Linked DNA regions of Canis lupus familiaris. The protein of the gene in region 3 interacts with the protein of the main gene of each other region in a pairwise test. Links are inferred from orthologs where the notes say so. Each region holds a gene or a part of one and is shown on either strand. Other genes may lie near its edges.

What was found. The genes of interacting proteins can lie anywhere in the genome.
Region 1: the proteins of CEP70 (region 3) and SYTL5 interact in binary tests that used the Homo sapiens proteins (3 or more experiments, as listed by UniProt). The two-hybrid records come from large-scale screens. The link is inferred for Canis lupus familiaris from reciprocal best matches to the Homo sapiens genes CEP70 and SYTL5.
Region 2: the proteins of CEP70 (region 3) and TTLL10 interact in binary tests that used the Homo sapiens proteins (3 or more experiments, as listed by UniProt). The two-hybrid records come from large-scale screens. The link is inferred for Canis lupus familiaris from reciprocal best matches to the Homo sapiens genes CEP70 and TTLL10.
Region 4: the proteins of CEP70 (region 3) and EMD interact in binary tests that used the Homo sapiens proteins (3 or more experiments, as listed by UniProt). The two-hybrid records come from large-scale screens. The link is inferred for Canis lupus familiaris from reciprocal best matches to the Homo sapiens genes CEP70 and EMD.
Region 5: the proteins of CEP70 (region 3) and C14H1orf35 interact in binary tests that used the Homo sapiens proteins (3 or more experiments, as listed by UniProt). The two-hybrid records come from large-scale screens. The link is inferred for Canis lupus familiaris from reciprocal best matches to the Homo sapiens genes CEP70 and C1orf35.

Annotation. Positions count from the first base shown.
Region 1 is NC_049260.1:32,902,307-32,907,256, reverse strand, and holds the start of SYTL5 (synaptotagmin-like protein 5), read right to left. Parts: upstream 3,142-4,950; 5' UTR 3,018-3,141; intron 1-3,017. UniProt on the Homo sapiens protein: May act as Rab effector protein and play a role in vesicle trafficking. Binds phospholipids.
Region 2 is NC_049226.1:56,838,375-56,843,234, reverse strand, and holds the start of TTLL10 (inactive polyglycylase TTLL10), read right to left. Parts: upstream 3,142-4,860; 5' UTR 3,120-3,141; coding exon 2,779-3,119; intron 1-2,778. UniProt on the Homo sapiens protein: Inactive polyglycylase.
Region 3 is NC_049244.1:35,300,740-35,305,617, forward strand, and holds the start of CEP70 (centrosomal protein of 70 kDa), read right to left. Parts: upstream 3,104-4,878; 5' UTR 2,959-3,103; coding exon 2,944-2,958; intron 1,283-2,943; coding exon 1,192-1,282; intron 1,030-1,191; coding exon 906-1,029; intron 585-905; coding exon 404-584; intron 1-403.
Region 4 is NC_049260.1:123,236,982-123,241,662, forward strand, and holds EMD (emerin), read right to left. Parts: upstream 3,124-4,681; 5' UTR 3,035-3,123; coding exon 2,953-3,034; intron 2,866-2,952; coding exon 2,758-2,865; intron 2,596-2,757; coding exon 2,518-2,595; intron 2,291-2,517; coding exon 2,157-2,290; intron 1,724-2,156; coding exon 1,650-1,723; intron 1,573-1,649; coding exon 1,239-1,572; 3' UTR 842-1,238; downstream 1-841. Other genes in the region: collagen alpha-1(I) chain-like, read right to left, coding at 3,518-3,844, 3,907-4,266. UniProt on the Homo sapiens protein: Stabilizes and promotes the formation of a nuclear actin cortical network. Stimulates actin polymerization in vitro by binding and stabilizing the pointed end of growing filaments. Inhibits beta-catenin activity by preventing its accumulation in the nucleus.
Region 5 is NC_049235.1:507,607-512,620, forward strand, and holds C14H1orf35 (multiple myeloma tumor-associated protein 2), read left to right. Parts: upstream 1-1,895; 5' UTR 1,896-1,989; coding exon 1,990-2,083; intron 2,084-2,327; coding exon 2,328-2,478; intron 2,479-2,593; coding exon 2,594-2,639; intron 2,640-2,713; coding exon 2,714-2,796; intron 2,797-2,901; coding exon of another isoform or gene 2,902-2,974; intron 2,975-3,085; coding exon 3,086-3,174; intron 3,175-3,421; coding exon 3,422-3,556; intron 3,557-3,642; coding exon 3,643-3,923; 3' UTR 3,924-4,173; downstream 4,174-5,014. Other genes in the region: MRPL55 (39S ribosomal protein L55, mitochondrial), read left to right, coding at 168-317.

The DNA of each region.
Region 1 (4,950 bases), on a different chromosome or scaffold from region 3:
CTTGGTAATGGTTTGAGTATCGAAAGCAAAGGAAAACTCAGAAGCCAAAGGGGCTCCAAGGTTTCATATGTGAGAAACCAGGAGATCCTCAACACCATTAGCAGAAACCTGGATGAAAGAGGAGGATATAAAAGACAGTGTGTTTGGCTACAACCACAGATGAATATTAGGTGACAGCAGGACATACAAGTGGGAAAATACATAGTAGATGGAAAAACCTGGAAAAGGGTATCTTAGAGGCATTATTTAAAATATTTTTAACTATGATATTTAAAACTATGGGTTGATGAGACATCACAGGCAAGAAAAAAGTAGTTAAGAGATTATGGGGCAAATAATAAACCTCTGGAGGAACAACCGAGTAGGGAAGAGAAGAGAAGGAGACAAGGGGGAAAGTGGTAGACAAGTAGTTGAATAGATAATATAGAGTCATGGATGATGAGGAAGGGAGAATTCAAGAAGTAGGAAATGATCATGAACGTCACATAGAGCAAAGTAGTCAAACAGGAGGAGGATTTGGAAAAGTATCCTTCATGGCACTTAACATAATTGAAATGAATTATTTGGGTAAATTAACATCTTTCCTAAGTAGACTAGAAATGCCTAAAGGTCAACCTGGGTGTTGCATACTGTAACCTCAGTTTATAGCAGTGCCTGATGCATAGCCATCATATTTATTGAATGGATAAATAAATGAATGAATATAATTCCTTTTCTTAATAGCATCACAAGTGACCCTAGGAAGTACAATGACAATCAGGTGAAGATAGATGTTATTGTAATTGCAGGAAAATTTAAAGAAATTTAGGTTTTAAAAGAGATAAAATAGGTCATAAGGCAGTAAGGGGCTGAGTTTATTAAGTACTTCCTAGAGATGTGTTTTGCTGAAAGGAGAGAGAAATCAGATTGAGGAAATTTCCTATCCTAGAATACTATATATTTAATAGGTTTTGTACGGACATCTGCTGGACTTCCACATGATCTTCCAGAACTTAAGGTAGCCACTCCAGTCGCAAGCTCTACAAGTGATGGAAGCAATGGAACCAGTAGAATTAGAAGCCTATGGGTTAGGGACAGCTGAGTGGCTCAGCGGTTGAGCATCTGCCTTCGGGTTAGGGTGTGATCCCAGGGTTCCAGGATTGAGTCCCGCATCGGGCTCCCAGTGAGGATCCTGCTTCTCCCTCTGCCTATGTCTCTGCATCTCTGTGTCTCTCATAAATAAATAAATAAATAAATAAAATAAATAAATAAATAATACATACATACATACATACATACATACATACTCTTTTTTTAAAAAAAAAAGAGAGAAGTCTATGGGCTAGGCATGACGGAAGATGTGGAGAAAGCACGGTAAGCAGAAGTCAGAGGAAACAATGGCACTACTCACAGAAAGACAGAGCCAGGAATGGACCCAAGTTGGAGAGAAGTTAAAGAATCCTGTGAAATCATTCAAAAGCAGGAATGCATGTGTGGGGTTGAATGTGTGAGGGAGAGCACATGCACGAGCAGCATATGGGATGCACAAAACAGTTACGAGTAAATTCTAAATAGGAAGTACTGAAGATGATTAGCTAAGTTATTACATATGCTGGCAAAACAGTCATAACATATGCCATTGTATAACAGAGCTCAGTTAGGTAAAACAAACTGCTCATTTCACGTATTAAAGTTGCATTTCCTTAACATACTAAATAAGTAAGAGAGAGTAGTTTCAAGGAACACACCAAATGTGCCTCCAGGCCACAAAGGAGTAGAAACATTATTTCATTCCCTAAACTTATTAGAAGACATTATCAAGCTAGAATAAAACGAATGGCAGCGCAAACCTAATTCCCAAACTGACGCTTGCAGAGAATTTCAGAAAATCATAAGCACATGGGATAAACATTTGACAACAAAGACACATTTTCTCATCATCTCCCTTACCTGTTTCCCCAGTATTAGTTGCCCATATGTAAATGTGTATGTGCGTGTGTGCGCGCATGCGTGCATGTGTGTTTACACTCAGGGATGTATAGATCTATTTAAGGATCTCACCAGAGTCCATTTGAATGTCATCATGCACTTAAGCCACAGGGTATAAATTATAACAGTCTTGTGCTTAAGCTGGTACCCAAACAACATATAAGCAACTTATTATATAGCAAAAAAACCTGAACACTAAATTCCTGCGTTTAAAAGATGTTTTAAGGAGGCTCAGATTTAAGGTGTATTTTTAAATACATTATCACATATGAGTAATATTTGCAACTTACAATTTTGAATACTTGATATAGATAACTCCTTTTTTCTCCCAAGTACAGAGTTTGATGTATTATGCGGCAAAATGTATTTTCCCTTAAACGAGGAAGATAGTACTGCTAACTAAAACAATCCATATTAAAGAGTAATTTTCAAAATCTGATGCATCTTTCTAGTGTATATTCATATTCACTCAGTATCTCGTCCCCTCATGGTATTAAAACCTCACCTTCATGTTGAAATTATTCCTGGGAGTTCAGGCTTTAGCAATCTTTCTACTAAATTTACAACCACAGTGGATATTTAACCATATCAAGAACAGGATTATAGCTCAACAACACTAAATAAAACATCTGAGTTTTTTAACAAATGAAATTCAGAACAGAACTTCTATCGAGAGGGATGAGAGGTTTTCAGCAAAGTGACAATACTTTTGCTGTGAACCTGATCTATGTCACAAGGATACATATTTGCTTATGTAGACACTCATTTTTTCGTTAGGATTTAGTGCAATGTTTCAATTTGTAGATTAAATTAAGTGCTAAAAACAAGAAGATAGATTTCCCTTCTCAAGCCATCAAATTTATATAGCAGTCCAACAGCCAAAATGTTCTTTATATATTCCTATCCTCCTCCTCTCGTCATAAAATCTCATATCAAATGGTGGAAGAAGTCATTCATTTCCTGACAAATCCCAACCCCTCAACACACAAAAATACAAAAATCAAGAAAGGAGACGTCACACTGAAGACCCCTAAACACATTATTCTTACCTCAATCTGATGACTAGAACATTTTGTAGACACAGTTTTCTTTCAGACACACCAATCGGGGAACGCTGGTCTACTTGACCCTCATGGAGTGCTAGGAGCAGGAACTTGAAAAACCAGCCTCTCGTGTTCCCACAATCTATTTACACACTGAACACACCCAGTAGCACAGAGTAATGTTTATCTGTGGTGGACAGCTATTCCATGAAGCAGGCAGTATGTCCACTTTCAAAAAGGAATGTCTCTGTTGATCAGCAGGGGAAAGGTAAGAGCTGTTTCATCTGCTAAAGCGCATTTTGGAAGATTTGTGAAATGAGATATTATTTAAATTAATGTTTTAAAGGGGATTCATTATTTTAATATTCTGTTCCTTATAATATTCTATTCTCAAAAGATCTGAGAAAAAAATATACTTAATGATAACACATATGTGCCAGGTGCAATTCCAAGTTTGTTACATATATCATTTCCCACAAGTTCAAAAATTTATTAAGTATGAACTCTTACTATCTCCCTACTACACATGGGCAAAGTAGGCATTTTGCCTACAGTTACCCAATTAGTAAATGGTAGAGCCAGAAGTTAAATCCAGGCACTCCAGCACCACAGTCTGTGTGTCTAACTATGATACTTCACTGTGTACATATAATTTCTTTTTGTATGTATAATTTTTAAAAGATAACTGCAACAGGATGTGGCTGCTTGGCTGAACATTAGATAATGAGTGAAATTTTCTTAATATTTTACTATACTGCATCTTAATTTGGAGTCAGTAAAAATTCTGGAAGATTATTTCCCCAACATGATTGTTCATTTATATGATCATAGCAGGCCTCATTTTAGATGCAATGGCCCTTTGGGGTGCCAGGGAATTGAGTAGAAGATGGGGTCTGACTTTAAGTACCAAGAGAGTTATTACTTCCTATGTTTTAAAAAAGTGTCTCAATGATATCTATTTTGTTCTGTTTTTGTTTTTTGATTGGATAACTCCTATTTATCTGTCTTTAAGTTCACTGACTCTCTTTGGCCACCTTCAAGCTGATGTTGAGCCCAGCTAGTGTATTCTTATTTTGGTTATTATAATTTTAAGTTCTAAAGGATTTCTTGCATTTAAAAGTGAGCAAAGTGAGCAAAGTGAGCAAGTGAGACAAACAGCAGGCAGATGTGCAAAAGCTGACATAGTTGTTTCTGGGGTTTAAAAACTGGGAAGCATATGGAAAAGTGAGTCTTTCCAATTCCTAGGTAGGTTCTAAAGTTTTTATTTGGTTATTTATAGTTTCCACTTACCTGCTGAAATTCCCTCCCTGTTCATTCATTAAGACCATATTTCTTTTATTCTTTGAACATATTCTCCTGTAGTTCTTTAACCACAGAATAATTGCTTTAAAGTCATTGTCTTAAAAGGCCAACAACTGAGCATCTTGGCTTCTTTTTTTCTTGACCAGAGGTCATATTTTCCTGTTTCTTTGCATGTTGAATAATTTTTATTGTTCACTGGGCAGTGTGGATATGTTTAGAGATTCTAGATTCAGCTATCTTACTCTGAAGAGTGTTGATTTCTGTTCTAGTAGGCAGTTCAATAGGTTTGGTTTTATGCTTTGTTAAGGTAGGTATGTAGAAAATCTAAGGTCTTCCCCAAGCCTGGTTCATTTTAAGGTATCAGACTCCAAATGCTATCTCTTCTCCATATCTCATAAGGGTAGGGTTTTACAATTTTCAAGGGTAGATCTATTATAGGTTTTACTTTAGGGCACGGTCTTTATTCCTAAGGCTTCTGGGATCTCAGGTGGATGCCCACGAGATTAATGAGGTATTAGCAAGATCTCTTCACTCTTATTGCTTGGAGCTTCCACATCCCCCAGCATGGGCCAACTGGTAATATCTGTCCGTTCTCAAATCTGTACCCTCTAGCCACTCCTAGGTAGTCTAGCCCTAT
Region 2 (4,860 bases), on a different chromosome or scaffold from region 3:
CCACAACAAAGACTGTGTCCACTTGCCTGGCCAAGGCCGAGTTCTCTGGCTTTGTCCTTGGGAATGGCCAACATTTCTGAGGGGACCCGACCCTAATGTAGGCCGTTTTGGGGGGACAGGTGAGATGCCTGCCCTCCACCTGGGAAGGAGGCCTCCAGGTGAGTATGTCCAGGCTCAGGGGATGGACCTCACTGTCAGGCTCCTGCCCTGTGCCCCTGTCACCACCTCCCACCCGTCCTGGCTCCATACGTCACCTTTCAAGGTCTCTCTCATGGACCCTGTAAAATCAGTGTGCTGGAGGTAGGCAATTTCACCTTTCTCTGAGCTAAGTGAAACCATCTCAACTTTGCTTTCAGAGGTGAGTTAAATTTCAGCTCCACTCTCGGCTGCCAGGCTACAGGGGGAGGCAGTGGGGGGTTGGGTATCCAGGGTCCCTCCCTCATAGCCAGCCCACAGTGCACAGACTGGCCTCCCGCTGGGTGGCCTCTGGAGCCAGGGCCTGGAGTCCCTAGTGTCCTTGGCCACTCCGGGCCGGCCCAACTTTGGGAGCGCCAGAGACCCTGGAGTCCCCACAGGCCCAGAGATGGCCTGGCTGAGAGCCTGGTGAATAGGCCTCCCCAGCTGTTTGCTGCCCACCATCAGCCCTACCTTCTCACCTGGGAGGTGAAGAGGTGCGTGGACGGACACGCGGACAGACACGGGGACAGAGCCGGGGCAGGTCGGGGGGAGGTGGGCGGCAGAGTGCTCCCTCCTAAGTTCCAGGATAGAATCCCACTCTCTTCCTGAACCCAGAACCTGGCCTTGGCCTCTGATTGCGGCTGAGTGCGAGGTCAAGAGCCCAAGCGTCCCACGTCTGGGGCAGACAGGAGTGGCAAGTTTTATGGGGTGATACGCAAAAAGTGAAAATAACCCTCCCAGTCTCAGACTGCCTAAATGGAGCTTTCTCTGCCAGATGTCGCAGGGGGAAGCCAGCCTTATGTCGGTCCCGGATGTGGGGTCTGGTTAATCATCACCATCCCAAGCAGGCTCAGCTCGGAAAAATCAAGGAATGAATCAAGAAGCCCAGAGCAGCACCCTCCAGGCTCCTCTCCCACCGGCCCTTGGCCGTCCCACCTACACGGGCACAGAGCTGGGTGGGGAACGCGATCCTGGCGATCCTGGCGTGAAAACCTAACTTGCGGGGTAACCTGCCTGACGGGCCTTAATCAACGTTGAGGGCCGCACACAGAACAAAGCCCTGAAACCCAACCCCTGTGTGCTGCGCAGATCAGCCCGCAGGCCCGGAGGCCGCTGGGGGTGAGGGGCGGCGAGCGCTGGCCCGACTACACCCGGGCGCTTCCTGCACGGCCGCCATTTCCCGCACACGGAGGGAGGGCACGGCGGGCACCGGCTCGCAGCCCTCCCGGGGCGCGCCCACCGTCGGCCAGCCGGGGGCACAGAGGCTCCTCGGGGTGGGGGACCCCTTTAGGCCATTCACTTCCTCTCAGACTCGCCAGAGACGGTCTTACGCGCTGGTTTTGCAGAGAAGGCATTTGCAAATGACCAAAATGTCGGAAAAGTAACAGTGGACGGTGTCCCTATCTTACAGCTGTTTTGCACTTTCATAAAGGAAATGCTTTGCACTTATTTTGGCCAATTCGACACCCTGCCAATTGCTCTGACTTGTAAGCATTTCATCTGGGTTACTAGAAAAAAACAAAACAAAACAGACCTAAATTTTCAGACAGCCTAAAAAAGGCCTAGAATGCTCCCACTGGATTAATGAAAACATGGTATTTCTGTGCCCTAAACGAACCATGAGCTCTGCATTATGCCCCAGACAGTTAGCATCTCCTCGCAGCAATGTTATCACCTCTAGAAAAGCCAGTGACTCGGATCTGTGGGAGCCGCTCTGGGGCAGCCACGCGGCAAGTTCAAAGCCGGGCACACACCGCTGAGGTGGCGGGGCCGCACTCTGCTCCGGCTCGGGTCTGTGGGCCGTGACCACAGACACAGCCGAGGACCTGCCCCAGCAGGGGTGTTGGGTGAGGGGCTGGCCCGCACCTTCTCCGAGGTGGTTCCGGCTTTGTTGGCGCCTCAGACGCAGGCGTGAAAGGCCTGAATCCAGGTCAGACCGGCTCTGATCCCGAGCCCTGCTCGCCAGAGCCAAGCCCTTCCCTCCGAGAGCAAACTGCGGAATCCCACCCCGGAGCCCCCCCACCAGGCCCTTCCCCGCACCCTGCGCCAGCCGAGGAAACAAGGGGCCTTGGGAGCTGGCACATCGGCGGCCAGCAGGGGAGCTTTCCAGAAGGTCCCGTCACCAGGCGGAAGGCGGGAACCCTGGCAGCCAGTGACCATGAGCTGCCTTCAGGGTGGCTAGAGGACACCCACTGCCTGGCTGCTTCCGCCCGCCGACCTCAGCGGCCCCGGCCAGCCTGAGACAGCTCTGCAGCCCACAGCCCTCATGCTCAGCCAGAGGGGCACCTCCTTGGAGGGGAAGGATCACCCTGGCCCGCGTCTGAGCCCGTTGGCCACCGTCACTCTGTCTGCCCTGGGTCAGCCAGCCACTCGAAGGACTCTCCCCACACAGCAGCCTCCTCAGGCTGCTGGCCGCCGCCTCCCGGCTTGCCTGCCCCAACAGGTCTTGCACCTGAAGGACGGCGGGAGGCCGCTCCCCGACCCCGGCCGGCAGCCTGGCCTGCAGCCTGGCCTGCACGTTCCGCACTGTCCCTGCATCCAGGACCCCCCAGGCCTCAGAACAGACATCAGAGAAGCTTTGGCACCAGTCACCCCGAATACCTGTCAGCCCGTGGTGAACCGCCTGGGTGCCCAGGTTTGGCTTCTGCCCAACCTGCCCCCAACCAAGATCCAAACTCGGAGCGGCTTGGAGGCGGGCGAGGACTGCCGGCCTCCTGGAAAAGACCAGCTTCCTGCCTCCCGCAGCTCAGGCTCCTCACAAAGGGAACTCTTAGGTTTACACGTGTGCAGGTGGACAGCTGGCCTGGTCTTTCAGGGAAGTTTGGAGAGCGACGGGGAACAATGGAGGCTGTGGCGGGTCCTTCTGCAGCTGTGAAGGGCAGGGCAGGGAAGAGACGGTGGCCCCAGGCTCGCCTTACATGTAGGGCCTCACCCCGCCCCATGCAGGTGCCTGCTCACTGCCGACCAATCTCTGCTCCTGGCCGCCGACAGGTGTGTCCCCTGGGCTCCCATAGGCCAGGAGGGAGGCAGCGACGTGACGCAGCGGCAGGGCGGGCGGCAGGCCCCGCACACATTCCTGCCCCCGCCTCGCCCAGCTCGCCCGCCTCGCCCGCCCGCTGCTGCCGGGGCCCAGCTTGAACAAAAACCAGGGAGGAAGGCTTCTGTAGGAGCTGCCATGCATGGAGTGTGCAAGCTACCGTCCTGGCCCCTGGGCACCGCCTTGCCCATGAGGAGGGGGCCACTGAGGTCACAGCCTGCACCCTCTGCTGGGCCCCAGGCCTGGCCCCGCAATGGCCCCCTGCACCCCGGGACTGAGGCTCCCATTGATAGAAGGCCAGGCCTGGACCTGCCCCTCTGGCTCTTGGCCCCAGCCCCAGGCTGTGGCAGCAAAGGGGGGGTCTGCCTCCCCTGTATGCCTCCAGCCACGCCCTAGGGCAGGAGGCTGCAGAACGGGGCAGACACGTGTCACATAGACCCACATGTTGGGGATGCCAGGCTGCCGGAAGGCCCCTTCTGCCGGGCAGGGGCCGGTCTGAGGGCCCCGTCCAGTTTGGGGGGGTAATGCGGGGACACTCCCGGCGGAAGGTCCCGTGATGAAACACAGCTTCACGGGTAATTGGCCCCACCAGCAGAGATCCCTGAGGGCCCAGCTGTTTTCCATAACGACCCTGCAGCTCTGCTGTAAACTCCTGGTGACAAAGGGCCTGTCCCCCGGGCTGCCAACGCTGGGGCTTGTTCTACCCCAGGAGCCCAGCTTGGTTCAGCCTCACCTTTCCATCCAGGGCCTGGTCTTACACCAAAGGCTGTCCTCCAGGGTGGAGGTGGCCAGAAGAGCTGGTGGCTGCCTCAGAGGCCCCCCCTGAGGGCGGTAGCACTTCAGGGAGTGCTGTCCCATCCCTACTGCAAGAGAGGTCCCAGACGATGGCTGGGTGTTCCCCACCCCCTGTCCAGGAGTCCTCATGGGCCTAATCACTGGGGTCCTGGTGGAAGACCCTCTGAATCCACTCTCTACCCCAGAAACCTGGCCTTCTGCCCCAAAGGCAGTGCTGGGGGTGGGAGCACCTGCCTTGCCTCCACAGGGGGCAGTGGGAGTTGGTCTAGTTCCCCTGGTCCCAGCCTTGGAGCTTCAGTGATCTCTGACACTCCGACCTTCCCACCTCCAGCCCCAGGGCAGTGTTGATGAGGGTGACCCACTAGGCATGCCCCTCCTCAGGGCTGTCAGGACCACTCACTCAGGAGGTGTGTGTGGGGGAAGGATGCACCTGGCCTGGCACCTGTGTTTTGGGGAGACTAAGGCATTGCTCACTAACAAAACTCAAAGGCATTTGCCGTTGGATGGGAGTGGGAGGAAGGGCTGCTCGCCGCTGACCCCTGTCTCAGGCCCACAGCCTGACGTCTGCACGCTGCCCCATCCTCTCAGTCACAGAGCTGCTTGGTGCTGCCCTGCATCAGAACCACCTGGCTCTGCCCAGAAATGTCGGGTTGGGGCTCGTGGGCATTCAGAAGCTCCCAGGAGGATGAGGGGTGGCTGCAGGAGGCCACAGCCAGTGTTCACTGAGCCCCCAGAGCCAGGATGTGGTGAGGACAGGGTGGCTCCCCACTCAGTTGTGACATCTGGGGCCACTGGGGAGGACAGGGACAGTCGCCTGTCAGGAAAGGGGCACCCGGGTGAGGGAGAAGTGA
Region 3 (4,878 bases):
ATCCAGTAGGCTGCAAGGTATCAGTCTGGAACTAAGGGAGGATGCCTGGGATAAAGATTTGAAATTATTAATGAATTTATGCTATGCATTAGACTGAACATCACCAAGGGAGTCAGAATATATAGGAAAGAAAAAAGGTCTAAGGAATAAGTACTAGAGAATCCCAGCACTAATTGGATAGGAAGGAATATAAGAAGAGCCAGCAAAAGAATTAAAGAATGACCAGTGTGGTGAGAGGAAAACCAGAGAAGAGGATGTTCTGGAAACCAAACAAAGAAAGAATTTTTAGAAAGCAATCAGTGATCTGTCAATAAGATAAAGACCACTGAATTAAGTGACATAGAAGTCACCTGTGACCTTAATGAGCTGTTTTACTACTATCATATAAGAAAACACATAATACCTGTAAAGCTTTATATTCCTTTTGAAGATCTTTTATTTTATTCTGTTGCTGGCAAACCCTATTTAGGGATTCATCCTCCAATTCACCAATTTTGGATTTCACACTCTCCATAATATGTTCCAAGTCATTAGCTCGTTGTTCCTGATCGGCTGCTCGGCTTTGTTCTAGCTGAAGTTCATTTCTAAAAACAGACACATGATTTCTTCCCTTAGTATAGAAGGAAATCACATTAACAAACATACTCATCTAACAACATAACGAATTTCTAAAATTTCATTGCATTGTTAAAATTTCTGTCATATAACACAAACCAATGGAAGAAATACAAGGCACCCTTACATATCTAAGCTAAGCTATTACTGAAAGATTTACCTACTAAAAATATTTTTTAAACTTAATATTTAGTCAAAATAGAAAATTAAAGTTCAAGATTCAAGGCATTATTTTTAGAATGCATACCACTGGTATACAAACAATTCAAAAGAGAATTCTGTTTTCTTACTTAAGCTGCTGATTAGTTTCTATGAGCTCCTGGATCATGTTCTGTTGACGTGTTGTTTCCTCCACCAATGTTTTCAAATTCTGCCTCATCCTTTGTGATGACTGTTTATCAAAAACGATGAGATCTACATTTTTTAATATAATACAGATAGTAAAAAAGGCAAAAAAATTTAAGATAAAAATTAGTTTTAAAAGGAAAAAAAATAATAATAAAAAAATAAAAGGAAAAACAATTTTTTTACCATAATGAGAAAGGATAGGATCTAGCAAGAATAGGATTTGATTACCTTTAAGATCAGTTCTTTCGACTAGAGATAAAGGCTTTAAGCCATGCATCATCAACAGCACATTTATGCTTTCCCATTCTGCTTCTTCTCGCTGTAATTACAAGGAGTGAGAGAACGATCAACTTCAATATATAAAGTGAAGAAACACCCTCTCAAATATAATTTCCTTGTTTACAAAATAATGGAACTTTTTCTCCAAAGTTTCTTAATATGAATTTTTTATGCACACATGATGATTAAAATTAAAACAAATGTCTAAAAAATTAGCAGATCAAAAAGAATGCAAATAAGCACAAATAATAAAGCACATTATATAATTCCATACTCATACATATAGGCTGTAATGGATAAATTGAAACAAAAATACCAACCAAAAAACACCTTGTAATTTCAATGAACCAAACAAACCTTAGGGTTTTTTTGCTTAACCAAATCACACCAGGCCCTACTCAAAAGAAACAGCTGCAAGGTGCCTGGGTGGCTCAGCTGGTTAAGCATCTGATTCTAGCTCAGGTCATGATCTCAGGATCATGGGATCAAACCCATGTCAGGCTCTGTGCTCAGTGTGGAGTCTGCTTCTCCCTCTCCTTCTGACCCTACTACCCCTGCTTGTGTGCAGGCTCTTGCTCTTTCTCAAATAAATAAAATCTTAAAAAAAAAAAAAAAAAAGGTTTGACCAAAGTTTAAAGAAAGATAAGAAACAGCTGCCAATTAGGTCATATTTACTGAACAGTAAATTAAATGCAAGTCACACAGAAACAAGTACCACTTAATGAATAAGGTCACCAAAAAAAATCAAAATGCCTGAATAGTCAAAGCCAATGATGTAGATAGTCCCTTGTATAGTGGACAAGGTCTAACTATAAAAAGGAGTCTGTCCATCTAAGTAACTGATTCTAGTAGCGTCACTCTGAAAGATATTCTCAAGTTTTGTATCCCTGATTCTAAATACCTATTCGTACCATAAACCTGAGAGGGGGACCCTAACTCTCTAAATTTTTTTTTCCCTAACTCTCTAAATTAAGTAAATAAAAACAATAATGGGAAGAAAAGGTAGTAAGAATATACAATACAGATAAGAATAAAAATAGAGATGATTTTTTGGATATTTAAACCCATGATATTAATAGTCTTTTAATGTAAATACAATGATCAATTTGAAATCACTGTGTGAAGTTAATTTACTTGCTTTTTAAGTTATGTGAGTATATTTGAAAAGGTAATCTGAGTGAATTTACAATCAATGTTTAAGTGCTTGAAAAATATAATTTATAAAATAGTTTTTTTACTAGTGATATAGTATTAAATATTGTAATAGCTTAAAGATTAATATAGACAAAGTACATATAAAAATACTACTCTCCACATTCAAATGCCCCCAAACATTAAGCTCTCTACTGGTATGACTACAATAGCACTATTACTAACAGCACCAAATCTTTCCTTTTGACTGCTGACTTTCTTCACCTTCTTTATCCCTTCCACACTTCTCCTCCTACAATCTTTTCCCTTATTTATGTTGTTGGTCACAAAGATTCATGATCCAGAATTAAAATTACTGAAGCTATCTGCTTTAGGAACCAAAAGCTATGTGGGCATCTCAGTGGCTATCTACTATGACTCATAAAAACCAAATACTCTGTAAATAATGCCACACATTTTGAATGATCAAATTATATATATATAATTATATAGTTATTATATATAATTATATATATTATTTATAATATATATATAATATTTCAAGTTTACCTGTTTTTCAGTCATGAGTCTGTTTAATGATTTACTGGACTCCTAGGCTTTAGGGGCTGCTGGAGATATAGTATCTTTTGTTAAATCAGAAGAAGTAGATTGGCAATAAAAAATATTCACGTTGCCTAAATGAAAAAAGAAAAAGTTCAATAGGTGTTAAAGAAAATTATATTTAAAAGAATGGATAACCCTTAGGCAATTTGAGCATTCCTGTGTCAAAACTTGTATGACTTCCTAGAAAGCTGATTTTAAGAATCATTAGAATAAATCCTATCTTATAATGTTCTCCTCTAGAAATAAAACATTATGAGTTTTACACATACACACAGAACTATTTGTTTTAATTAGATATGTACAAAGCACGTGCTACTAATAAATAAACTGCTATCTTGTGGAAGCTGCTTCTTGAAGCCAAAAGAACTATACCTGACCCAAAGTTATAGGCCAGTCTAACAATTCACTGGACTAAACACCAAGGGTAAATGCAGTGCCACTTGCTTAGGTAGTCTGTATTTCTAAGTAGATCAGAGGCTAGCAACAAAGAATTCTGTGTGACTGGCAGACACAAAAGTTTATATTCAGTCTACCCTACCATTACTTCTTCTTATCATCTAAGACTTTATCATCCTATAGGGAAATTTGGATTCTTTGGTATGTAGATATAATTCCTCCTTTCAAGAAGCACAATCATACACATTCATTAGCATCAGGAACTTTTAGATCTTGAGAGGACCTTGTATAGTGTTTAATCCAAAATCTCTAGCTGTTCATAGCTGGCAGAGCAGCATATGAGAGAGTTGTACCAAGACATCAGGTACTATAACCATCTGAATCCCAGAAAAGTGAAATGATCTTCTCAGAATTACTAAGGAAAAAGGTAGGCCTCTTCACTGCCAGGTAGTATTTCTTCCAAAGCACCCTTCTACTCTTTTATGTCTGTTTCAGATAGTGAAATCCAACCAAACAATTTACCAGTCACCCTTAAGTCTGGTCTACAGGGTACAGTCTTTCTACCTTATTTTCAGATAAACCCAATAACATGTTACAAATTCCCAAATTCTGCCACTTTTGTGCTTAATGTCATACTATCTCCCCTGTAAGCTTTGGTCTCTTTAACAACTCAACCACCCTTACTTTGGTAACCCATCCTGCTTTTACAAACCGTTCACCTAGTTATAATTTCTCCTAGGCTTTAGGGGCTGCTGGAGATATAGTATCTTTTGTTAAATCAGAAGAAGTAGATTGGCAATAAAAAATATTCACGTTGCCTAACTGTATTAGAGAAATTTTTAGAAATATACAAAAATAAATAAATAAATGTAAATTTAGAGAAATTTTTAGAAATATACAAAAATAGAGAAAGTATAATAAATCCACGAATACAGCTTCAATGAAAGCCAACATTCTTGCATTCTTATTTCATTTCTTCAATGTTTAGATTTCAGTATACATCTTTAACAAATACAAACTTATTTTATTTTATTTTTTTTAATTTTTATTTATTTATGATAGTCACAGAAAGAGAAAGAGAGAGAGGCAGAGACATAGGCAGAGGGAGAAGCAGGCTCCATGCACCGGAAGCCCGATGTGGGATTCGATCCCGGGTCTCCAGGATCGCGCCCTGGGCCAAAGGCAGGCGCCAAACTGCTGCGCCACCCAGGGATCCCTACAAATTTGTTTTAAACATAACTTCAATACCATTGTCACACCAAATAAAATTAACAATTTATCATCACTTAATACCTAGTCCAGGTTCAATTTTCCTCAAAATATCTTAAAAATGTCTTTTTTTTTTTTTCAAATCAGGATCCAAACAATGTCCAAATGTAGCACTCTAAAGTTTCTTTTAATCTATAGCAGTCCTTCCCCTCTTTTTTTTAACATGCATTTTTTTGTTGTTGAATAATAGGCCATCTGTCTTGTCAAACTACTTTT
Region 4 (4,681 bases), on a different chromosome or scaffold from region 3:
GCCTCCAGCTGAGCGCTTCCCCCTGGGCTGCCCCACCGAACCGTGTGCGTGGCCTCATGTGGCACGCTGCCCTGCGTTTCCCTGGCACGTGTGCGGATCCCTGGGTGGCTCAGCGTTTTGGCGCCTGCCTTCGGCCCAGGGTGTGATCCTGGAGACCTGGGATCGAGTCCCATGTTGGGCTCCCGGCACGGAGCCTGCTTCTCCCTCTGCCTGTGTCTCTGCCCCGCCCCCCCTTCTCATGAATAAATAAATATTTAAAAAGAAAATTTTGAGAAACAATCAATCAATAAGTAAATAAATAAATAATAAATGAATAAGTAAATAATACGTGTGTACTTTGCAGGTGGAGGTGCTCGCCTCCCGCACAGAAAACCTGGAGATAAGCAAGAACATAGGCAGGTGAGGGGTGGGATTTACACAGGGGTGATGCGGCATCCTGTGGGCCTCTCCCCCCCCCCGGACAAGCGGCCGCCCGGGAGGAGCCCGCCACTCGCCGCATTTCCTCCCTGTCCACCTGCCCTTGGGTACTGAGGCCGGCTGTCGGCTCCTCCCTGTCGGAACATCTGTAGCCAGTGCTGTGCACGCACCCTCACCTGCATTTATGGGGGAGCTCTCTGCATCCCGTGGGGGCACGCTTCTTTGCCTAGTTACAGCAGCTTTGGGTCACGAGTCAGGGAGCAAACCCTACCAGTAAAGCACAAACGTGCCCGTGGGTAGCATGCGATCCCTACCCCAACCCCAAAGCAAGAAGGGAGAGCGAACAAAGCCAGATGTTGCTCGTGGAGACCCAAGGCCTGGAGGCTCCCAGCCCAAGTCCTTCCCAGCAAAGAGAGCCCACACGTTAAAAATAAATGGTCTTTTTATTGTGTCCACGAAAACAAAGTCAGGGTGGCCTGGGTTAATCCCCCCCGACGAGGTGACAACAGACAGGAGGCATGCAATGACAACAACCATGTTCTCCTCTCCAGGAGAAGGGTCTTACCCTCCTGGGCCCTGGATCAGAGGCAAGCAGGACCAGGAGACTCCAGAGGAAGGCCTGCCCGGGCCCGCCATGCCGCGGAGGGCCTGGGCTTGCCACCTCCTGGGCAGAACGAGGCAGGGGAGCAAGCACTGCCCTGGGCCAAGCCCAGCACACCGAAGCTAGAACACACAGAAAAGCCCCCACCCCCTCCCCCAGCAGACACTACTAAGGCAGTCAGCCAGGACTTCCGGGAACAGCTGGCCACGAAGCCAGCCCCTCAGGGCTCCGTCCAGAAGGGATTGCCATCCTCAGCCTGCATGGAGTAGTAAACAAAGAGCAGGAAGGCAGCAAAGACCAGGAACAGGAGCAGCTGGCCCCAGAGTGGGACCTGGCGGTCCTGGCCCAGACCAGCCCCAGGGGCCTGCTTTTCTGGCCGGATAGCACGACGGGTGAGCCACGAAGTGGGGGAAGATGAAGATGAGGATATGGGAGAGGTGGAAGAGGGTGTGGGATAATAGGACAGGCCCAGGGAGCTTCTGGAGATGTTGGAAACAGGGCGGTAGTGCACGATGTTCTGGTAGGCGCTGTCCCGGCCATACCCGGAGCGTTCCCTGAGGCAGAGGACAGCAGGTGAGCCAGGGGGCCTGCGCCCAGAACCACCCGCTGCCTGGCCCTTCCTGCCACTCACCTGTCCTTGCTGTCCTCTTCAGAAGAGAAGAGACTGTCATCGCGCACCTGCAGGTAACAGTCAGGGAGAGGGGAACTGGCCAGCAGAGTCAGCAGCCTGTAGCCTGTCCCGTCCTCACTGCAAACTAGCCTAGCTGAAACACCCGGACCCTGTTCCCTCCAAAACCCTCCTGAGTTACCAGCCTTAGCCCGGTAGGGCTTTGTCACCCGCTCCACAACTCGACAGGTATCCTGGCCGCCTGCACCTTACTTTCTGCCCCGGGGGGTCTGAGAAAGATCTCAAACCTAGATCCCAGGTCAGGGTGCACGGCGTCCCAGGTGCCCTAGTGTTAGGTCTGACACTCCCCCAAGGACGGCCCTGCCAAGGGAGGTGTGCACTTACCTTGCCTCTCGGGAAGCACAGGGCCTACCGCGTGCGCCCCCCCCCCCCCCCCCCCCCGTCCAGGTTTTGTCCAAGCCCAGCTATGACCCCCACAGGTTGTATGCAGGTGCTCGGCAGCCAACTCACCTGGTGGTGAAAGGTGTCCGAATCTGCGAGTGAAGCTGATGGCTGGCGGAAGCCCTTGGAGGAGCCCACAGGCTCAGGGTCCCCGTAGGTCCTGGTGCTCAGGTAGCTCTCCTCGTAGTAGTCATCGCCGTAGCCTTGGGAAGGGGGGGAGAGCGGTAGCAAGGTGCACAGTGGCTGCGCCCACCTGGCCCTAATCTCAGTCCCACGTGGGAGCCTGTGGCACCGTCTCTCCCCTCTGGGGCTGCTGAGGATGACGGGCTTGAGATCCCAGGTCCCCCCAACACCAGGCTCCCTGAGGGAGGGGGTAAGGGTGACAGGGTGCCCCCCCCAGGGTGCCCCCCCCCCGCCCGCCCAGCCTTACCCTTGCTCTGGTAAAGCAAGGCGTCTTCTTTCTTGGGCAGATCGTACATATCCGAGTCCACGGATGCCGAATCTAAGTCTGAGGGGGGGGGGGCGGGACCATTTGCCCCCGGCTCCCCTCCCTTCTTCCTGTGCCCCTCCCAGCCACCGCCCCTGCCACACCCTCCGGACCCCGTGCCCCCCGTCGCCCAAACCCCGTCCCCCTGGGAGGCCAGGTGGAGATCCGGGGCGGGGGCCTCACCCGAGAACCGATAGGAGAAATTGAAGGCGGACGAGTTGGGGGGCGACAGCCTCCGCCTCTGGGTCTCGTACTCGAAGATCTTCTTTTCGTAGAGCTTGCGAGTGGAACCTGGCCAGACACGGGACGCGGGGCGTCAGGGCCGCGGGCCGGACCCCGGGGGGGGGGCGGGGAGGGGGCGCGCTCGCCGCCGCGTACCCACGACAGGCCCGTGCGGGATGTTGTACTGGCGCAGCACGGCGGCCAGCTCGGCGTCCGACAGGACCGCGTAGTCGTCCATGGCGGGCGGCGGGGACCCGGGGGCCCGGGCCTGGCGGGCGGCGGGCGGCGGGGAGCTGGGGGGGCCCGGGCCTGGCGACGCGGGCCCAGCTACCGCTGCCTCCGAGCACGGCGGGGGCGGCGCGAGCGTCTCGGGAGCGGCAGCGCTCGCGTCACGCCTGCGTCACGCTCGCGTCACGGCCGCGGGCTCTGCGGACTGCGCGCGGGGCGGGGCGGGGCCGGGCCGGCGGCGCCGGCGCGGAGCGGGGGACCGTGGGAGCGGGCGGGGCGGGCGTCATGACGTCAGACGTCGCAAGCGGGCGGGATAGGCTGGCGGCGGCGGCGGGGCGGGGCCGCGCTCCGGAGGGGCGGGGCCCGCCGGCCGAGGGGCGTCACGCGCTGGCGCGCAGGGGCGGGGCTCGAGCGAGGAGTCGGGCTTGCGGGGGCGGGGACGAGCGTGGGCTCGCCGCGACGTGGGGGCGGGGCGGGGCGGGCGGTCGAGGCGTCACCGGCTGGCGTGTCGGGGTCGGGAGGGCGGGGGTGGGGACCTACGCAAGTCGAACCGGCAGAAACCGGCCAGGACAGGAAAGCGGCGCAGGACTGACGCGCTGGGCGCGGCTCGCGCTCCCTGAGTCACGCGGGCTCCGACGGTCCCCGCAGCCCCCTGCCCCCTCCGCACCCCGCGCTCCCCGGCCGCCCCGGGCCGGCCGCGCCTCCGCCGCAGCGCGAAGGGACCCCGATCCCGAGAGCGGGCCCTCGGGGCCGCGGGGCCCAGGCCCGGGCAGCAGCCGCCTCGGCCCCCGGTGCCACCCCGCCCCGCTCCGCTCTCCACCTGCGCCCGTCGTCCCGCAGGTCCCCAGCGCCTCCCACCCTCCCTCCCTCCCTCCCTCCCACTGCGCCCGGGAGGAAATGGGGCACTGGGCCAGGAGGCCGCGGGCACCCCAGGAGCGGGCATCCTTGCAAGGCACTGGGCGTGCCCGTGGGCGCTGGCAGGGGGCCGAGCCCGGCGTGCGGGCGGCGGCCAGCGTGCGCCCGACCCCCGCGCCAGCCACCTGGGGCGTCGGGGCTTTCCTCTGCTGTCCAGGGCGTCCCCGTGGCAGCCTGGGGGGGCGGGGAGCCTTCAAGCCCCCGACGACCTGCTGGGCCGGCTCTGCGCGCTTGGGCCTGGGTGGGCCCCGGGGTGAGCCGAGCACAGGGGGCCCCGGCGTACTCGCGGGTGAGCGCGCGAGGTTGCAAGGCCGTGGAGAGCCTGCACTGTCATTAGGAATTCGTGAAGGCCTTGGTCGCAAAGAGCTGTTCTGGGGGGATTGGAAAGGTGGTGACAATCATATTCTAAATGAAGCCAACTCAGGGAATGTGGGTACAAATGAAGCGCCCCCCCCCCCCGGAGGCCCAGAACTAGGAGCATAGGGAGAAGAGGTGCTATCTTTGATATCAGATGATAGCTAGTGACAGGGACAAGAGACAGGTCTCCGATTCATCCTGGTCCAGCTGGTGAGGGTCACAGACCAGTTCTCCTTGGGTCACAGGATGGAGAAGAGGAAGCCACACAGGGAGTGGTGAGATGGGGCCTTGGTGTGAACACACACACAGACTCGAGACGTGCCCCTGGCGGGGTTTGGGGTTTCAGAGCACAGGCCAAGCTGCTCCGTCTCCTGAAATAGGAGGA
Region 5 (5,014 bases), on a different chromosome or scaffold from region 3:
GATCAATCTTGAGAAAACAAGTCTGTGTAAAGATGGAGAGCTCTGATGACAGAGAAAATCCAGCAGAACGTAAAAGCCCTAAATACAGAGTGGAGAATGAGGTGAAGTGGAGGCACGGACAAGGTTCTGGGCCCTCCAAGTGAGCTTGTGCATGCCCTTCCCCACAGATGCCCGTGGACCTGGATGCCCTGTCCCCAGAGGAGAGGCGGGCACGGTTCCGGAAACGAGAGTCACAGGTCCAGAAGAAAAAGGAGGAGCCAGAGCTCTATGATGACTTTGACGTGGAGCGGTACAAGCAGTTTTGGACAAAAAAATGACCAGGCCTGGAAGTGTCCTTAAACCGTGTGTTCTCGAAGCTGCCTCCACCTGGCCTTTCCTTCCCGCACGCTCGAGTCTGTTGTGAGCTCTCTGCGACCCAGTGGGCTAGGTGGCTAAGGATTGGGTCAGGCTGTGGTGTTCAGACGAGGTCTGAAGGGAGTGCCCGTGTGGGAGGAGGAAGGAGAGGGCCCTGGAGCCCCTCACTCCCTGACCAGCTGCAGCCTCAGGGGCCAGGGGCCCTCAAGAAGAGAGTGGGAGGAGCAGGGTGTCAGGGATGCTGGTACGGGCTGTCAGTGGACTGGCCCACAAAGGGAGGTGCCTTCAGCTGGGCTTGTGGCCCCTGTGACTACAACAAACCTGTGGTCGGCTGCCATTCTTCTGCTCCAGTGGTGGGTTTCAGCCTGGCCAGGCTTCTGCAAGACCAAAAGGCCAAGTCCCAACATTTCCACTTGTCGCTGGCCTGGCCCAGGCCTGCCTCTTGCCCTGGCCTGGGCTGTCAGGACTCTTGGAAACCTGAGTGAGTGCCCACCGTAGGGCACTGATACAAAAGGTGGGGAAGGTGCCCACGTTCTATGGGAGGGGGCTGTGTCTGGGCTCCTGGCGAAGGGTGCTGCATTAAGCACCCACCTTTGGACTCCTAAGTCCCTGGTGGTCCACTGAGTTTCCTGGCCACGCGCAGGGTCCTGGGAACATCCAACGGCATTGTCTGCCCTTCCCTTGAAGTGGGGTCACAGCAACGATGCAGGGGTCAACAGCAGAGCAGAGGGTGAGCGGGGCAGGGACAAGTGGGACTTGTAGCCACAAGGCAGGGTGGGTGCTGGTGACGGAAATCACTAAGAGGGCCCCCCCCCGCCCCAGGCAGGGGGTTCTGGCAGAAACCACCTACTGAGATTGCTGCTGGTGGGCCTGGCAAGACCTCCACTAACGCACGGGCACCTGCTTAGCTTCTGAAGGGGGCCGGAGGTGGCAGGCTCTTCACCACAGCGGGTGACACGGTGAAGTGGACGGAAGGCCCAGGCCCGTCTGCAGCGCTCTGGTCAGTGGAGGTCCCATCTGCACCAGGTGTTCCTGTGTGTGGGCCCCCGACCCCCGCTCCGCAGGACCTCGCCGCCGCCCACGTGGGGGGCTTCACACACTGTCCATGCCGCTGCTCCCCCGTGTCCAGGGCTCGGAGCTGATCCTGCTTTGCCCAGCACAGCCGCCCCCCGCGGCGCCAGAGGAGCCCGTGCATTGGCGCACCTGCGCCGTCCCGCCTGCCCTCCACGCTGGGGTCTCCAGGGGACGGCCCCGGGAGTTGCAGGCCGTGTCCCGCTTCTCCGGAGCCGAGCCGCCCCCGGTGCCCGCTCCCGGCACTGCGGCCCCACCCGCTCGCCCATCTCCCGGCACAGCCCCAGGACCGTCGCCCGCACAATGTGGCTCCCAACGCCGGCAGGATCCTCGGGACCCGCCTTGGCGCCTACGCCCGCTCCCTTCCCGGGCGGTGCGCCTAGCGCTGGGGGCAGGCGGGGCGGCGGGGCCGGGGAGCAATGCGCAGGCGCTTGCGGCGCTGCCCGGGTATGCGCGAGTGTGACGTCAAGGCGCGCGACGCGGCGGCGGGACCCCGGCGCCGGCGCCGCCCGGGGCGGCCAGGCCAGGGTTGACGGAGGCAGGGGCGGCGGGCGGCCTGGCACCATGTTCGGCTCCAGCCGGGGCGGCGTGCGTGGCGGGCAGGACCAGTTCAGCTGGGAGGACGTGAAGACCGACAAACAGAGAGAGAACTACCTGGGTCAGTGCGGCGCCGGGCCCGGGGGCGGGGGGGGCGGGGGCGGGGGGGCGGGGGAGGACGCCCGAGCTGCCGTGCGCGGTGCCGCAGGTGCGGGAAAGCGGGGTTGCGAGGTTCTCGGTGTGGGCAGCCGGGGGCGCGGGGGCGGGGAAGGAGAGGGCGCGAGGTGCGGGAAAGGGGGGCTGCGGGCGTGGGAAGGCGGGGAGCGGCGACCAGCGGGCCGAGCAGTCGCGCTGCGTCCCCGCAGGCAACTCGCTGATGGCCCCCGTGGGCCGCTGGCAGAAGGGCCGAGACCTCACTTGGTACGCCAAGGGCCGGGCGGACGGCGCGGGACTGAGCCGGGAGGAGGAGCTGGCGGCCGTGCGGCAGGCGGAGCAGGAGGCACTCATGGCGGCGCTGTGAGTGGGCCCCGCGGGGTCGGGGGAGCTCGGGGGGCCCGGGGGCGAGGCGGGGTCCGAGGGGCAAGGCCAGGGACTCCGGCCGCCGCCTGAAGCTCGCCCGCGGCCCCCACAGAGGCTACAAGAACGTGAGGAAGCAGCCCACTGGCCTGAGCAAGGAGGTGAGCGGCGCACGGGGGGCGGGGCGCCCGGAGTCTGTGCGAACCCCCGCCTGAGACCCGCTGGCTCCGCACAGGACTTTGTGGAGGTCTGCAAGCGAGAAGGAGGGGAGCATGAGGAGAAGGGAGTGGACCGGCTGCTGGGCCTAGGGAGCTCCAGGTGCGTGGCTGGGGGGTGGAAGGGGCCCTCCCCAGGTGGACGCACCGCCCCGCCGAGGGAGGCCTGGGCCTTCTCACCGTGGGGTCCTCGCCTGCCTTCCCGCAGCGGCTCTGCAGGCCGAGTGGCACTGTCCCGGGAAGACAAGGAGGCCGCCAAGCTGGGGCTGTCGGTGTTCACGGTAAACCCCCCTCTGCGGGCGGGGCACCCCAGAATCGGGCGGGCGCCGAAACTGGGACGCCCCCCCACAGCCCCCTAGAGTGCCTTCCTTCCTTGCTCCTTCCCTCCCCAGCACCACCGCGTGGAGAGCAGCCGCCCAGGGGCCTCCCCCACCTCTGCTAGGAAGAAGCCTCGGTTTGAGGAGGAGAAGGTGCAGCCTGGGTAAGGGCTGCTCCCACCCCTTGGTCCCAGGCCCACCTGCTGGGCTCCCCCAAGGGGGAGGCAAGGTGCACTCCCACCCCTGCTTTTCCTCCCTGGATGGGGAAGCAGGGCGCCTTCCTACCTCTGCTGCTCCTGGCAGTTTCCTGCCACAACGGGAAGGAAGGACCGCTGTACCCACTGGCCACAGGGAGGGGGGGGTGTGTCTGTGTGGACAGTGCACAGGGGACGCCACCCCACGTCCCTGCAGCCTGGAGAGCCACAGGAAGAGCAGGAAAGAGAAGAAGAAGAAGAAGAAGAGGAAGAAGAAGCACAAGAAAGAGAAGAAGAAAGACAAGGCACACAGGAGCAGGGTGGCTTCTCCACTGTCTCCAGCTCCTGCAAGGTAGGTGTGCTCAGCCTTGCCGGGGCAGAGGGAAGGTCTGGGGAGCAGGGCAGCCTCCCCCTGACCACATGTCCCCATATCCCCAGGCCGGGGCACCACCAGTGCGGCTCTGACTCTGAAGATTCCTTGCCCTGCTCCAAGAGGCGACGCAGCCACCACAGTGACTGAGGCCAGATCACAAGGGGCCCCCATGTCCAGCAGGGGACCTGCCCCGGGAGGACACACTTGCCTGGGAAGGCCCCGAGACACTTCTATTTTTCTTCAACTCACTTTGTACTTAAATAAACTTATTTTAAGGGGAAAGCCTCTCATCCTTGAGGGAAGGTGGCTGTCATGTCCCAGTAAAGTTCCAGCAAGACCAGCCTGAGACCCTGCTGGTAGGGCGGGGAGGGGGGGGGGGGGCGGGCTCTCCCTGGGTTACCATGTCCAACCCCAGGGCACAGACGTGCACCTGGAGCCAGCAGTGTGCCCCACCCCTGGGAGGTGAGCACCTAGTCATTAAACCCTCCTATTACAGCCTGCCTGCAGGGAGGATGAAACCCAGGGTGCACTCATGATTGTGAAACTGGCATCTTTGGCTTTAAGTCATCAAACTAAAAACGATTCTGTCTTCATAACCCTGGCCCTGGTGTTTCAACCTGGTAGTGGTATAAACAATCTTGGGCGGGGGCCAGACTGGGCGCCCCCAGCCAGGAGAAGGAACCAGACCAGCATGCCCAGTCAGGTGGGAGGGATGGTCTCCAGCCAAAGAGCCACTAGGAGCCCTGCCAGGGGTTTCCTACCCCTCAGGAGCAGGCTGGCTAGCAGGGATGGGCGTGGACAAGAGCAGGCCTCGGGCACACCCAGTGTGGTGACCCTGCTGTCCCTCCACGTCCCAGTCCCACAGAATAGACCAGGGGCTGCACTAACAGTCAGCGGGTGGACGATGAGAGGGCGCTGGGTCATATGCACACCTAACACAGGGAGCAGTGAGCCACACCATGTAGGTCCCTAGCCAGTGACATCCTCTGTGCACAGTGGTAAGTGTGGGTCAGTGGCACCCAAGCACTGGAAAGCCATGAAATAGTTAAGAGATTTTATTCTAGTAGCTATAATTACAGTGCTTGTTTGTCGAAATGAAAACTGAAAACAAGTATACAAAACAGTTGATTACTAATCGTGTATTGAAAGCAGTAAGAGGTTCCACGACACCAAATAAACCAGTTCTGAGAACTTCCCCAAGATAAAGTTGAACAGCTCCAGCTTCTTCAGTGTTTATCAAAATACAAAAGAAAACAGTAGAGGTCGTTGTTTTGATGGCAAATCTGACCCTTGCAGGCTGAGGGAGTGAAAGCACATGTAGACCAGGGCTCCCGGGGCTCGGGGCTGAGGTGCTGGGATGACTGGCCTGCCCGCCCGCACTCCTGCTGGTGAGACCCCAGGCAGCCCAGAGGAAGCCAGAGTGCCCACACTGCCCCC